Notamacropus eugenii: one gene and its partner. The protein of the gene in region 2 binds, or shares a complex with, the protein of the main gene of each other region. Links are inferred from orthologs where the notes say so. Each region holds a gene or a part of one and is shown on either strand. Other genes may lie near its edges.

The links. Proteins that work in one complex are often made in the same cells at the same time.
Region 1: RBL2 (region 2) and MYBL2 share a complex: the UniProt entries of both Homo sapiens proteins name them as parts of the DREAM complex. The link is inferred for Notamacropus eugenii from reciprocal best matches to the Homo sapiens genes RBL2 and MYBL2.

Annotation. Positions count from the first base shown.
Region 1 is NC_092872.1:420,949,961-420,957,416, forward strand, and holds the start of MYBL2 (myb-related protein B), read left to right. Parts: upstream 1-4,445; 5' UTR 4,446-4,460; coding exon 4,461-4,789; intron 4,790-5,168; exon of another isoform or gene 5,169-5,504; coding exon of another isoform or gene 5,505-5,524; intron 5,525-7,456. UniProt on the Homo sapiens protein: Transcription factor involved in the regulation of cell survival, proliferation, and differentiation. Transactivates the expression of the CLU gene.
Region 2 is NC_092872.1:469,041,561-469,049,252, forward strand, and holds the start of RBL2 (retinoblastoma-like protein 2), read left to right. Parts: upstream 1-4,688; 5' UTR 4,689-6,807; coding exon 6,808-7,068; intron 7,069-7,692. UniProt on the Homo sapiens protein: Key regulator of entry into cell division. Directly involved in heterochromatin formation by maintaining overall chromatin structure and, in particular, that of constitutive heterochromatin by stabilizing histone methylation.

The DNA of each region.
Region 1 (7,456 bases), about 48 Mb from region 2:
TTAAGAGAAACGTGTCTTTATCATATTTGGAATTACCCCACCATGAAGCCAAAGGTCCTGCAATGACTTAATAGAGGCTTAGGATAAGGTTCAGGTTCCCTAGGTAATTTCATGGTCCTTGGGTTTGGGAAGTGGGGAGGGGGCAGAGGTGGGCAGCTCCTTACTCAGGGTTGGCCTAGTGGAAGAGGGTAGGCGCAGGCCTGGGTGGATAGAAGATAAGGTTAGGCTGAGGTAGTTGCAGGCAGCAGAAGGGTAGAGCTGGGTATAGCCCTCATGGGAAGGCCTGGTGCATGCAGAAACTTGGGCTGGGTGCAAATAACTATTGTGCATTAAAATTCAATGTTATCAGTATAAATTATTTAATAATACTCAACATGACTAATAATTATGGCTTAAAACTGATACAGGAAAATTATGGCATCCCTACAATCCCCTTTGCCTTTCATAAGATCTTGTAAGAGGGAGCATGGGTATGATTATCCTGTACTTACTTATATGGTAACTCAGGCTTCCCTAGGTCGGGGCACATGGTCCAGGTCATGACACAGGAAGAGATTAGACAAGCCCTGCTCTACTTACATTTCTGTTCAGAGGTCTTCTGCAGTAAGCTACCTCTTAGATCAGACAGTTATGAAAACTGTTTTCCCCAATATGATGCTTCATAGGTAATTTTAACTAGTGCGTGATTGATCTTAAAAGATATTTGTTGTTGTTCAGTTGTGTAGGACTCTGTGTTTTCTTGGCAAAGATTCTGAAGTGGTTTGCCATTTCCTTTTCCAGTTCATTTTACAGGTGAGGAAACTTAGGCAAACGGGGTTAAGTGACTTGCCCAGAGTCACACACAGCTAATAAGTGTCTGAAGTCACATCTGAACTCAGGTCATCCTGGCTCCAGGACCAGCATTCTATCCACTACGCCACCTAGCTGCCCTATCCATGATACAGAAAGAATTGATAAGAGCATGTCATTCCCCCAGTAATAAAAGGTCAAAACTTACGAACAAGAAGATATCAAAAGAAGAAATGCAAATCTTCAATCAATTAACAAGCTTGTATTAAACAGTGTACGATAGACACTAGAGATACTAATAAAAAGAATGAAACAATCTATTCAAGGAACTCACATTCTATAACAATAGGAAAGAATCCCCTTATCAGTAATAATAGGAGAAACATTAATCTAAGAGATTTTCTTCTCTGTGTGCGTCATATTGGCAAAGATGACAGATGAAAATGCTAAATTTTGAAGGGCCTGGAGGAAAATAAGACTAATTCATTGTTGGTAGAATTGTGAATTGGTCCAACAATTCTGATTATATTAGAAAAGTCACCAAACTCTGACCCAGCAATACCTCTGTTGGGCACATGCTCTAAGAAGGTCAAAGACAGAAGCAAGGGTCCCACATATATAAAAATACTGTTTATTGGCAGGAAGTAAAGACCTGGAAACAGTGATTTTCTCTTATCAGCTGGGAAGTAGCTGGACAGAATAGAAAGGAATATCGTTGTGCTGGAGGAAACTGATGAATGTGAAGAATTCAAAGAAACTTGAGAAGACTTGTATGAATTGATGTAGTGAAGTAAAACCCCATGACTACAATCACGCAACTTAAACACAATAAAAGGTGTATGGATTGTGATCAGTGCAGCCAACAATTTTGATTTCGCAGTACTTGCAAGGCTCTCATCTTTGAGATGGTGGACTATTAGATGAAATTATGTTGTTAGATATGGCTGATGTTTTTGTTCATTTGCACAGCAGTACTAGTATGAGGGTAGTACTGCTATTAAGAGAAGGAGGCATTGGGCACTGACATGTAAACATTTTTTCAAAGTACTAATAAACCTTTTTAAAAAATTACATGGATACCAATGAAACCAGCCAGCCTTCTCTTCTAGTTGTAATTCTCTTACATATTTTATATACTGATTTGTGCAGTTGGTAGTGTACTAAAGTCTTCATTCTGTTCACCAATCTATTGTCCTTTGAGTGATCCATACTGGATCGCAGCTCTCCCTCACTCAAAACAAAGTCAAGTGTAAGTCATGTCATCATTTCTCTGATGTCATGGTCTTCTTCTAAAACGAAGGACGGGCACAACTTTTGATTAGTCCAGAGTGACACAAAAAGTGAGAAATGAGCTTTGCCTTCATGGAGTTCACAGTGTTTAGGGCAATAAGGCATATTCACAAATAACTATGAGAAACTAGGTGGTATAGTGGATAGTGCGTCAGACCTGAACTCAAGAAGACAGCTTCCTGAGTTCAAATTTGGTCGCAGACACTTAATAGCTGTGTGATCTTGGGCAAGTCACTTCACCCTATTTGCCTCAGTTTCCACCTCTGTAAAATGAGCTAGAGAAGGAAATGGCAAACTACTCCAGTATCTTTGCCAAGAAAGCCCCAAATGGGATCACAGAGAGTTAGAGATGACTGAACAAATACCTATAATACAGAATATAATTTGTTAAATGCCTAAAGGCAGGTAATAGAAGGTTTCCTTAGCTGTGTGATTCTGGCCAAATCACTTAAACATTTTTGAGCCCTCAATCCTCATCTATAAAATGGTATTTAAAAAGAACTATCTACCTCACAGGTTTCCTGTGAAAAAAGTACTTTGCAAATTGTAAATTAAAAAAAAAAAGTTCTTTTTAAACCTTGCTATCATTATTCCCAGGGAAAGTTTAATTTCCTAAGGGAGATTGGAGATTGTCTTTCAAGTTAAAGACTGAGCCAGGCCTAGAACTCAGATTTTCTGCCTTTAGGGTCTTGTCTCTTTCCTTTATACGCTAATGTGGAAAGACAAGAACAGAACAGTCCAGAAACTTTAAATTGTGGATTTTGACCTGGGAAATGAAGTAGGAGACTATGAGTCTGCAGTGTTTCATATGAGGTCAGTCCATGTGACCATTGGTTTTGCTTAACTTTATTTTGTTATAAAAAAACGATTACATGGTCTGTAGGAGGGGTATATCCAGAAATGACTGTGATATTTAAAAAGGCATCAATAAAAGTTTTTAAAGTTGTAATTACCATTTTGTTACATACTTTGATGGCTCTCTAGTCTTCTCCTCCAGTGTAGATGTTCAACCATCCCTCCCTGCCTTTTCATTTTATGTAATTCTTGTCCATGCCCTTTCCAAAGGCTTCCATAGTGTCCAATTCAGTGGAGCCTTTCCTCAAAATGATTTAGTATTTTGAGGATACCAAGTGTTTGCTATCCTTTGCTCTCCTTGTATGACTTCAATTCATATTTATTAAATACCTACCAGCTGCAAGGCACCTACCAGGTGTTGTGACTATGAGACAAAAATGAAAATTCATGGACTCAAGGAGCTTATATTCCATTGGGGGTATATAATATGTATGTTATGTATATATATATAAATATGAATATGTATATACACACAAAAAAGGAAATAATTTCTGGGGTAGGAGTGGAGATCTGGGAAAAAGGAAAGACTTGCTCTAATGTAGGAATTAGCATATGAGTTGAGTCTTGAGGGGAGCTAGAAGCAGAAGAGGGAGGGAATTCCAGGCATGGGGCACAACTTGTGCAAAGGCATGGGGGTGGGAGATGGAACATCATGTATAAAGAACAGTATGTGGGCCAGCTTGGCTGGAAGAGTTTGTGAAATATGAAATTAACTTAGAGAGTTAGTCTGGAGCTATATTATAAAAGACTTTAAACACCAAGTAGAGGAGTTTGCATTGTAGCCTAGAGGCACAGTCAGAGCCTATCAGTTTGGTAGCCCTGTGGAGAATGGACTGGAAAGAGTGGAAAAATACGCTGTCAGGAGGATATGAAGTGATTAGATGTGGGGAGGGGGACTGAGGGAAAGTGAAGAATGGACAACCAGGAGCTTGTTTACCGAGCTACAGAAAGGTGGAAGGGGATCTCTTCAATCGAATAAAAATAGGGCTGCTGGAGAAAAGGGCGAGAACTAAACTGAATGACTTAAAGCACTTTGGTTTTAAAGAGCCACTGATTTTTTGGTTTGTTTGGACAAAGAGGAGAGGAGAAAAGGGATAAAGGACTGCAAGGCATTTATTCCCTCCCGATTCCCTCCCCAGGCAGCACTCCCTTTTAACAAAAAATAAGAAGAAAACAATGGACCAACAAAATTAAACAACACATAAACACACTGACAGTTTTTACTCACAGTCCCCTATTTTTGCAAAAAAAAGATCTGGAGAAGCATTTTATTTTTAAAAAAAATCAAAATGTTGAATTCATCCATTAAATTTCCCCATAAAATCCTTCCTACAGGCAGCATTAAAAGCAGGAGAATCAACTAATCTCTTAATATTTTACTGGATAAAAAAAGTTTTCAGCAGACTCTGGGTGTCAGTTTTCTCATCTGCAAAGTAAAGGCGGGTTGGACCAGGTTATTTTTTAGGTACTTGATCCCTTGATTTAACGTTCTATTTAACTGAAAACATCCACCCTCCTCTCATCAGATGAACTGCATCCCAGGATCTCCCTTTCTATTTAACTCAGACATCTACCTTGGACTCTGCACATGCAACGAAACTACATTTCCCAAGACCCCTTGCAGCAGGGGCTTCGGCTCAGCCCAGTTAAAAAGCCATATCGGAGCTTTAACTCGGCGAGCTTTGGGTCTTTTCGGAGCCGGCGCAGCCCCGCTCCCCGTCCGGCCATGGGCTTTAAAGCAGAGTGCCCTTCGAAGCGGACGGCACCGGCACACGTGCGGCCCAGTCCGCCGGCCGCCTGGCCCCGGGGCGCTCGGGGCGGAGGGGCGCGCCGAGGGGCTGCCGGTGGGCCTGCCGTAAGTGGGGGCGCGGCGGGGAGGCGGGCATGGACGGACGGATGGGCCGGCGGGTGGCGGGGGCTTTGCAAAGTTTCTCGCAGTTTACCCGCGCGCGCCTCTTTTCCCCTTCCTCCGCCTCCCGCCCGCCCGCCAGCCACCCAGCGCTGCCTCTGGCTTCCCGGGCGTCCGCCTCGCGCACGCTCGCGCCAGCCCGGGGAGGAGGGAGGGATCAGGGAGGCGGCCGCCCGCAGTTGGCGCGAGATAGGAAAGTCCTGCGGCGGCGGCGGCGGCGCGTCCCGCTCTTCCACGCCGGCTGCGGCAGCGGCCCCCGCCGGGCAGCCTCGGAGGGAGGGGGCGCCTCCCGGCCGCGACCTCCCCCCGCCCTCCCCCTCCCCCTCCCCCTCCCCCTGCTCCCGCCCGCACTTGCATTTCCTAGGCGGGGGCTCGTAGCGTCTGCCGCCGGCGAGCTCCGGCCGGGGCCGGGCCGGGCAGGGCAGGAGTCGGCTCCGCCGGGCGGGCTGCTGCGCCCCCTTCCCCTGCGCCCTCCCCACCGGGCTCGCCCCGTCCTCCATTGCCCCGTTCCCACTTTTCTTCCCTCCCTCTCTTCTCCCCCGTTTCCTCTCCTCCCCTCCCCTTCCCCCTTCTCTTTCCCTCCTTTCCCCGCTCCTCGCGTCCTGCCCCCCTCCCTCCGCCGCCTTTATGACCCCCTGGCCCCGAGGGCAGCAGAGAGGGGATGGCTCGCCGGACTCGCGGGTAAGTTGGACCACCTCAGGGGGCCTTCAGCCCTGTTTTGTTTATCCGCGGACCCCCCCCCCCCCCCATTCTCCAGTTAGTAGTGGGTGAGAGGGGGTGCCTGCGGACCTCCCGGAGAACCTAGGTTAAATAGTAGAGCCCCCCCCATAGGTGGGTGTCTGGCTAAGGTTCAGTTTTTCCGCTCTCCGTGCAGTTGCCCACGCGCTGCCACCCCTGGTTCCCCCGGGGGGACCACGGACACCCGGGGGCCTCTTGGCCGGCCGCTGCAGGCTGATTGGGGCGTAGTCCGCACACGGGGCATTTTGTCTTTGGGTCCCCAGCTTAGCCGTCTGTAAAATGGGTGCTAATGGGGAGTTCTAGGGCACGGGCTCCGGGGGTCTAGGGCTTGCCCAGCAAATATTGTAAGGAGCAGTGTCTCATTAGAGTTGGAAGGGACTTCAGGACTTGTTCAGAATCCGAGAATGTACTCTTGATAATGCCATCATCCTTTCTTCTCAGTAGCATTTTTAAGTGCGTAAAGGAAAATGCATAGAATTACAAAGGAAACCAACTGAATATTGAAATACAGTTACCAAAATATAAGAAAAGACATGCACTCATCTGATCTAGGACCTCTCCACCTACCCCACTTTTGCAAAGGATGAGTTTGGGGCTCTGAGAGGAGATTACCTAAGGTCACAAAATATTGAATATTCAACCTAAAATTGTGAGCGCAGATGTCATCCATGAACTTCTATCTTGGTTCATGTGAGAGTCGGGTGTGGAGGAAATGAATTCTTATAAATTGAGAATTATGAAAAAAACTAATAAATCCACCCTTCCCAAAGCAAAGGGCAGTGGAAGAGAGGGGTTTTATATTCCAGACATGCTTGTGGATTATACCAAAGGGCATTAGTGTTTAGAGGTTCTTTGTAGGGAGTTTTGATGGCCTGAGTGTTTTAATGTCTTTGTTAAGTATGGAGGGTGCACATATGCATGTGTATATATACATACATGTATACATATGTATTTCAGAGGTCTCTCTTGTCTGTTGTAGGAGGGAGACAAGAATTACAGTATAATTGTGCCCCTCAAATTTTCTGCACCCTGAAACATAGGGCTGAAGTTATTTATGATATCATGCTGCACATATATATATATATTAAACGCCTATATTAGTTGCCACTTTTCCTGGGTGTTTTTTTGCCTTAGCAGGCAGTTCCCAGCTTACAAACATCCCACTTGTAAGTTATTGCTTACCTACAAATAGTTTCTCTCTCTTTCTGCCGAAAGGCTTCTTTTGGCCTTGGGATCATGGTGAGGAGCATGAGGCACATTTCTTTGCCTGTCAGCTGCTAGAATTATTTTCTCTTGTGGCCACCAGGCAGGGTTGAGTTGATAGGGGCAGCTATTGTCCAAAATAATTAATTGGAACTCTAGATGCATTTTTTTCTGATAGAAACAATGTTAAAAGTGGTTAAGTTCTGTTTCAGCTACATGATAGGTGAAATTGACTTTTTCTGGGTTCATAGCCACCTTTTAAAACTTTGTTTCTGAAAGGGAACATTCAGGACACAACCTGTTCTGGCGCTGTATTTGACCTGTCTTGGCCGTTTGGATTTTGCTTCTAGGAAATTGTCCTTAAAGATCTGGTCTAGGGTTTTTTAACGTTTTTTGTGTGTGTCAAAGACCCCTTCGGCAGTCTAGGGAACCCTTCTCAGAAGCATGTTTTTGATGCATAAAATAAAATACAAAAGATCACAAAAGAAACTCATATTGAAATAGTTATAAAAATTTTTTTGTTTTAAGTTCTCAGACCCCAACTTAAGAACCATGATTTGGTGAGGAGAGGAAAAAGTTTTGGCCACTTGGTCTTATTTTCCCAATAGTGTTATAACTTTAAAATCTGCATTCAGAATACGTTTTGAAAATATTGAGTACTAGTAAGTAAAT
Region 2 (7,692 bases):
TCATACATAGAGAATCTGGAAACATATGCGGCCAAGGTTTCCAAGTAGAGGGACCACTCGTCCCTATGTTAAAAAGCTTTTGATGTTTAGAGTGATGCTACACTGCTCCCTACTGGTTGTTCAAGGGTTGAGCTAACAGCCCGATGGTCCACAAGAAGTGCTGTTGGAAATGTCTCCAACCAGTGACTGCCTAGCACTGTTAAATAATAGTGATGCTTCTTGCTATGTGATCCTGCTTCCAGAATAGATATATGTATATGAGAATATATTCATATCTTTATATAAGGGTTACCTGACCAATAACTGCCCAACTCCTGAAGGGTTCATTTTTCCATTAAAAAAAAAATTCTAAACAATTTCTGTTTTTCCATGTAGGTGAAAGGATAAGGGAAGGATATAAAGAGGAGGACAAATAATATCAGGAGGGTAATGTCTTGACTTGCAAGTGAATTGGATTTAAGTGAGACAGGGCTGTGCAAAGTCACCAGCTTCACTCTCCTCCAAGGTCATTTGAGTCCAGTAGCAAGACATAGATCAGGACAACTAGCAATGGCCCCAGAAGCTATGGGAGACCTTGGCCTTTTTAAGCTAAGGTCTTTCCCACATCTCGGTTTGAGGCAATACCCATTCTGTGATTTAGAGCTAGGTAAGAAATGAGGCAAAAGATGACTTCATTTGCCTGCCCCAAAAAACAAAAAAGCCAAATTTGAACAAAGGAAGGAGTCTTCCTGTCTCAGGCCCAGTGCTCTATCCATTTCACCATCTAGTTGCCCCTTTAGACTCCTAAGGACTACAATTAAGAGATACTGGGTTAGGCTTCTTGTGTGACATTAGGCCTTGACAGCTCTTTGTAATCTACTCCCTCACCCCCTTTCAGTCTTCCATCTTCTACCACGCCCACCTCCCTTCACACACTCTTCAACCTGGTGACTCTGGCTTCCTTGTTATCCCTAGCAAGATGACAGCTCTCAACTCCTGAATTTTCTCTTGCTATTCCCCCATGACTAGAATGATCTCCCTCAACTCTGTCTCCTGGCTTCTGTCAAGTACCAGCTAAAATCACACCTCCAGGAAGTTTTTCCCAACACCTACATTTCAGTGCACTCCCTCTTCTATTTCCTATTTTTCTTGTATATAGCTTATGTTTATACGTGCATTTGTTTGTTGTCTCCCAATTGTACTGTGATATCCTTAAGGGCAGGGATTGTTTTTTGCCGTTTTGTGTCTACCCTCTCCCCCCTGCCAATGCTTAGCACAGTGCCTGGCATATAGTAGGTGCTTAATAAATGCTTATTGACTGACTGGGAGAATGTACATTCCTTGAGGGCAAGGACTCATTTTTGTCTTTGCATCCCACAGCATTTAGTGTGGTACCTTGTACATAGCAGGAACTTAGGTGCTTGTTGATTTATTGATCCCTATGAATGACCTTTTTTTTACTTCATTTTTTATTTATTTAGTATCTTATTTTTCCTCAATTACATATAAAATCAACTTTTAACATTCATTGTTAAAACTTTGAGTTCCAAATTCTCTCCCTTCTCCCTCTCCCTCTCCCCCCCACCCTTTGAGAAGGCAAGCAATTCAATACAGGTTATACCTGTGTAGTCATGTGAAACATATCCACAATAGTCATGTTGTGAAAGAAAACATAGAAAAAACCTCAAGAAAAATAAAGCAAAAAAAAAAGTATGCTTCAATTTATATTCAGACATCCTGATGACCTTTTCACATTTATTTTTTCTTTTACCTCTCTGCATCATTTCTATTACTATCCTTTCTTCCTGGATACTTTCTCCTCTCTGGGTTTTCATGATTAATTAATCAGTTTTCTTTTTATCTATCTAAACTAGTCTTTTTTGCAAAAGAAATGCTTATCATACTCCTTACCTGTGAGTGTTACACAAGGTTCTGTCCTTGACCTTCTCCTTTTCTTTCTCTACACTCTCTCGGTGACCTCATCAGCTCACACAGGTCTAATGTTTTTCATCTCTATATAGATTAATTGTAGATCTACATATCCAACCCTAGTCTCTTTCCTGAGTTCCAGTACTATATCACCAACTTCCTAGTGGCAGTGGGATAACCTGGATATTCCAGAGGATCAGAAGCTGAGCACATTCAAAACATAATTGTCTTTTTCCCAAATCACCTCTCTTCCAACTTTCAAAGGTACCACACTACTTCCAGTCACCCACGTTCACAGTCTTAACATTGTACCCAACTGTTCACTCCTCCTCAGCCCACAGAGCCAATCACTTGCCAAATTTTGTTATTTCTACTTCTACAATCTCTCTCATACCCAACCACTTCTCTCTATTCACAGATCTGCAACCCTAGTTTAGGTTCTCATTACTTCTGGATTATTGCAATAGTTTCTTGATTGGTCCCTCTGCCTAAGTCTCTATTCCAAACCATCCATACAATTGCTAGAGGATTTTCCTAAAATTCAGGTCTGACCATGTCACCCCTCTACACAACAAATTCTAGTGGTTTTGTATTACTTCTAGAATAAGTTATAATTTGATTACCTGTTGACAAATCTATTTGGCATTTAAAGCCTTCACTCCAGATTATCTTTCCAGCCTTATTACACTGTCCTTGCATTCATGCACACTATTTTCTTTCCCCCCCAAATTTATTAATTTGTTTTTAGTTTTCAACAATCACTTCCATAACTTCAAAATTTTCTCCCCCTCCTTCCCCAAGATGGCATGCAGTTTTATATGGGCTCTACACAAACATTCCTATTATACACATTTTCACATTAGTCATGTTGCATAGAAGAATTAAAACGAATGGGAGAAGCCATGAGAAAAACAAAACATGACAAAAGGGAAAATAATCTACCAACTCCATAGTTCTGTGTTCCAACTCCATAGTTCTTTCTCTGGATGTGGATGGCATTTTGCATCATGAGTCCTTCGGAAATGTTTTAGGTCCTTGCATTGCTGTGAATCTATCAAAAATAATCCTCACACTCTGTGGTTGTTACTGTGTATAATGTTCTCCTGGCTCTGCTCACTTCACTCAGCATCAGTTCATATAAGCTTTTCCAGATTTTTCTGAAGTTAGCCTATTTGTCATTTCTCATCCTCGCTGAATCACAGGTAGAGAGCAAATAAGTCAGCCACAACATCATTCACCAGGTCCTCCTTGATGAGCTACAGCAGGAGTAACAGGCCTGGAATCATCTCTGAGCCAGATCACTGCAGGGCTTGGTCAGCTATGTCACCTTCATCTGTAGCATCTTTGACTATTGAATGATGCCAGAGAGAACCATCTACTTCCTCTGACCCTGTTGTCCCCTTCATTTCTTACAGGGTGATAGTATTGCATCACAGTTATGTATCATAAGTTGTTCAGTCATTCCCCAAAGGATGGATAGTCCTTCAGTTTCCTATTTTTTGTTTCAACAGAAAGGGCTACATACTTGGTTTTGCTAAGCTGACCTTTTCTTGTGTTCTCAATGGGAAGGTAGGGAGTAGAGAGGTAGGTGAGAAGGCAGTCTTGACCAATTAAATAAAAATATATCATTATCTGTCTATATCTATAAAACTTAGGAACCTTAATAAACACGGTGACCAACCAGAAATCCTAAGGGCTTATGATGAAATATGTTTCGAGCCTCCCCCCCCCCACCCCACTACATAGTAGGTACTTAGTAAATGCCTATTCTTTCCTAAATCTTCAGTTACATCATTTCATTCTCTTGCTCAATTCCAGTGGCTCCCCATGATGAAGTACAAACTCCTCTGATATTTAAAATCCTTTATAAACAAATTCCAAACTACCTTTCCAGAGTCATACATTACTTTCCTTTGTATGTGCTGTGGTCCAGTCAAACTATACTTCTTGGTATCCTTCATCTCGCAGCCTTTGCCCCAGCTGTCTTCCATGCTTGAAATGCACGTCCTCCACACCTCCATCTCTAAGAAGCCCTACTTTCATTCAAAACTCAGCCCAAGTGAGATCTGCAAGAAGCTACCTTATCCTTATTTTGCATGTACTTTTATACGTACACTTTGTCTCTCAGAAAAAAAGCTCCTTTAAGGCAGACTTTCATTTTTGTTTTTGTCTCCCTAGTACAGTAACTGACACATAGAAGATGGTTACTAAAATATATGTAGCTTAACCAATGTGAGAGAAAGTAAAGAACAGATACTGTCCAGGTGCTCTATTAGTATCCATCCCTGCTACAACAGAAAGTCAGAGAAAGGCAATGTGCACATTGGGTGGTACCCCTGGAAGGATTTGTGGGAATACATGGAACAATCACACAGGAGAGACAGACATGGATAGATTGTAATCTGTATCACTGGGAGGAGTACCTACATAGTTAAAATCATAGTCACTCAAGAAGTATTGAGCAAAAGGTCATTTCTTATTTAGTACTGTATTAATCATTTTTTACAAATAATGCTTTATATGCTGAGGGGGGAGAGACTCAAGGTGTAAAACAAATCATACACTTTTGAACATGCAAATGTGTGGGTTTGGATTTGCTTGACCATACTTATTAAGAGAATTATGTAATTCTTTATTCCTTGGAGAATAAAGGGAAGTTAGCAATAGCAATGACAAAAAAAATCATTTAAGTGTTCGTTTTAAATGTTCATTGAAAAATGAAATAAAATATACATTAAAGAAGCAACTCTGGAAGGAAATACAAGCAGAACAGCTTTGAAACTAACATAAATTTAATACACTTTTTTAAAGTATTTATAGATGCGAGGTTTCAGATACAAATCTCTTTTTCTGTCTTTTGTATAAAGATTAAAAAAAAGTGACATTTAGAAAACCCTGGTCTCTTCCTAAGTGAGACATAGGTATTCTCTCCATTTGGGTTCTGTTCCAGCTTAGGGTTTAACAGGGTGTATGTAATGATTCTTTTTGAAAAGAAGCAACAGAAAGAGGAGGTGAATTACCTAGTCACAGAGTGGCAGAACAGGACTAGTAGGTCTCCTAACTCCTGATTTGGTACTTTTCCACTTAGCTGGAAGAAGCCCAAATTTAGGCTCCTTAGGAAGCAGTTCACAGAATCTCAAAAGAGACAGCAGAGACCATTTAGACCAACCCCCAAATTTTACACTATTGAAACTAGAGCAGAATTTTCCCAAGATCACACAGATTGTGATTAGCAGCAACTCATCACCTTTCTCCAAATCCAGTTTTCTTTTACTCTCCCCCTTGGCTGGATGTGTGTGTAAAATAAGGTTTCAAGGATATTTTTAGAAGGTTTAGAATGACTGAGAATCAAGGTTCAGTTAAAACCTCAACCCAGGCTTTGAGGCAGGAGAATTTTATGACTGAATTAGTTTTAGGGGAGGGCATTTTGGTCATATTTTTAGGTGGCCTTGAGATTAGGCAGAAGGACTCAGAATTATTCAAGTCATACCAATGTACCTTAAAGGATGTAAATTACAGAATATCAGTTGCAATTTTTTACTCCCATGATGAGACTTGGGGAGACTGAATAGGTGTCCCAGTGTATAGAGTTGGGGGAAATAGCACTGCAGTAGGAATGAGGCCTGAGTGGTAGACCATATGCTCTGAACCTCCTTATTTGACAAAAGAAGAAACGAGTCTCAAAAGGGCTGGAACTTGCCCCAGATAATACATCAAGTTAATGGCAGAGTTGGGGATTACAATCTAGGTCTTCTAAATCCAAGCCCAGCATACATTATTGAACCCTTATTTTTATTCTTAAAAGTAACAATAAAATACTCAAAATGAAAAAAAAATGATTATACATAAAACTGCAAACTCCAAATTACTGGCAAATTTTGTACATGTGATTAATTAAAATGCTCCCATTTGCTTTTGTAACCCTTTCTGATCAACATATTTTAATTTTGTTGCCAGCTTTTTACAGTGGTAGCTCTACATTGTATCCTATTCAAATTCTCTTTTTTTTATTCTGCACGTCACATTTCTTTCAATCTCCCAGGCATTTTCAGATCATTCTTGATTTCCTAGGGCACATTAATGTTCGATGACGTTCAATTTGTTCAGAGAATACTCAGCCACTGACACATTCCCTAATTTGTTTAACAGATGAGGAAACTAAGGCCCACCTTGATGAGATTGACGCAGCTAGAAAGCATATGGAGTAGGAACAAGGACCCAAGCGTCCAGATTCCTGCTCTAACTTTCCACTCCTATGATGAGTCTTGTTGAGGCTGAGAAAATGAGATGGCCAGTGTAGAAGTAGCATGGAAGGGAAAAGGCCTGCAGGGGAATGAGAAGGTCTGAGCTGCAGTCCCCAGGGGGGTGACCTTGGATAACTCACTCTACCTGAACCTGTTTCCTTCCCCCTTCTAACAAGGCTAAGGTGTGTCTTACAGTTCCAACAACTTCTTGCTCCTTCTGTTTCTCCTATAAAAAAGAGATCGTTCTACAGGGAACCTAAGAAGGAATAGGGGGGGAAAAAAAGCTCCACGCACCTCCACCCCCGAGTTCCCAGCTAAGCTTGGCACCTGTCCCGGGGACTGGCACATTTGAACAATAAAGGAGGAGGCTTGAATGACTTAGGAGCCGCTCCCAACTCGTAAATTCCTAGGAAGCCGAGCTGCTCGGCCGAAGACACAAAATGGGGCTTTGTGTCCCTCGCGGGCACCCGACGCGGACTACAGCTTCCAGGAGGCCGCGTTCGCAGTGACGGCGGCCGGAGCGGCCACGTAACCGTTGGCGGCGCAGGCGCGCTGCGGGCAGCCGGCCGGGCGGGCGCTTCGCGGTTTGAATGGCTCCGGGCCGGGGCCGCCCGTTCGCCTAAGAAGCGGCCGTCGCGGAGCGGAGCGGAGCGCGATGCCGGCAGGGGCAGACCAGCCGCCTCCGCCGGCGGCGGCCTCCGAAGAGGAGGAAGACGACGGCGCGGAAGAGGAAGCGCCCACGGAGGATGGTGGGGAGGAGGCTGGGGCAGAGCGCGGCGGGCCTGTCGGGCAGACGCCGGCGCCTCAGACGCGCCAGCGGTTTGACGAGCTTTGCGGCCGCCTCAACATGGACGAGGAGGCGCGGGCCGAGGCGTGGGAGAGCTACCGGAGCATGAGCCAAAGCTACACGCTGGAGGTGCGCCCGCATCCAGGGAGGGGCGGGCGGGCGGGCCTGGGGCAGAGCCGCAGCCGGATTTCGGGCCTGGCCACCGCCCCTCCGGGTCGAGTGCCCGCCTCCCGCGGACTCGTGCCCACCGCACGCACACGCACGCACACGCACGCGCGCACGGTGGGCGACGTACGCCCTCCCCCGGAGGGGCTGTTTGCCTTGGAGCGAGAAAGGCTCCTCTTGGGGGCGGGGGATTTAAAGGCAGGCTGGAACGCTGTGTGGCTCTTCGCTGGTGACCTCCCCTCCCCGACCCTCCGTTGCTCGTCTGTAAAATGGGGGGTCGGATTAAATCATTCTGAGGGCCCTTCACGCCTTCGTGTCAGTAGTTCGTGAACATTTAGCGAATGCCTCCTGTGTGCCAGGCCCTGTGCTAAGCTCTGGGAAGACAAAGAGAGATGTAAAACAAGCCCTGAGCTCCCAGTGTCCTGAGGGGGAGAGCACACCTAAAAAAGTGAGGAAGGAGCGGGGCAGGGTGTCATCAAGTCCGGCCGCTTGCATGGGGAATGATCCCGGGAGGTGAGGGTTGCTGAGGAGATCATGAAATCCAGGAGGTCATCTGGGTGGGAAATAAAGGCGAAGAGCTAGCAGAAT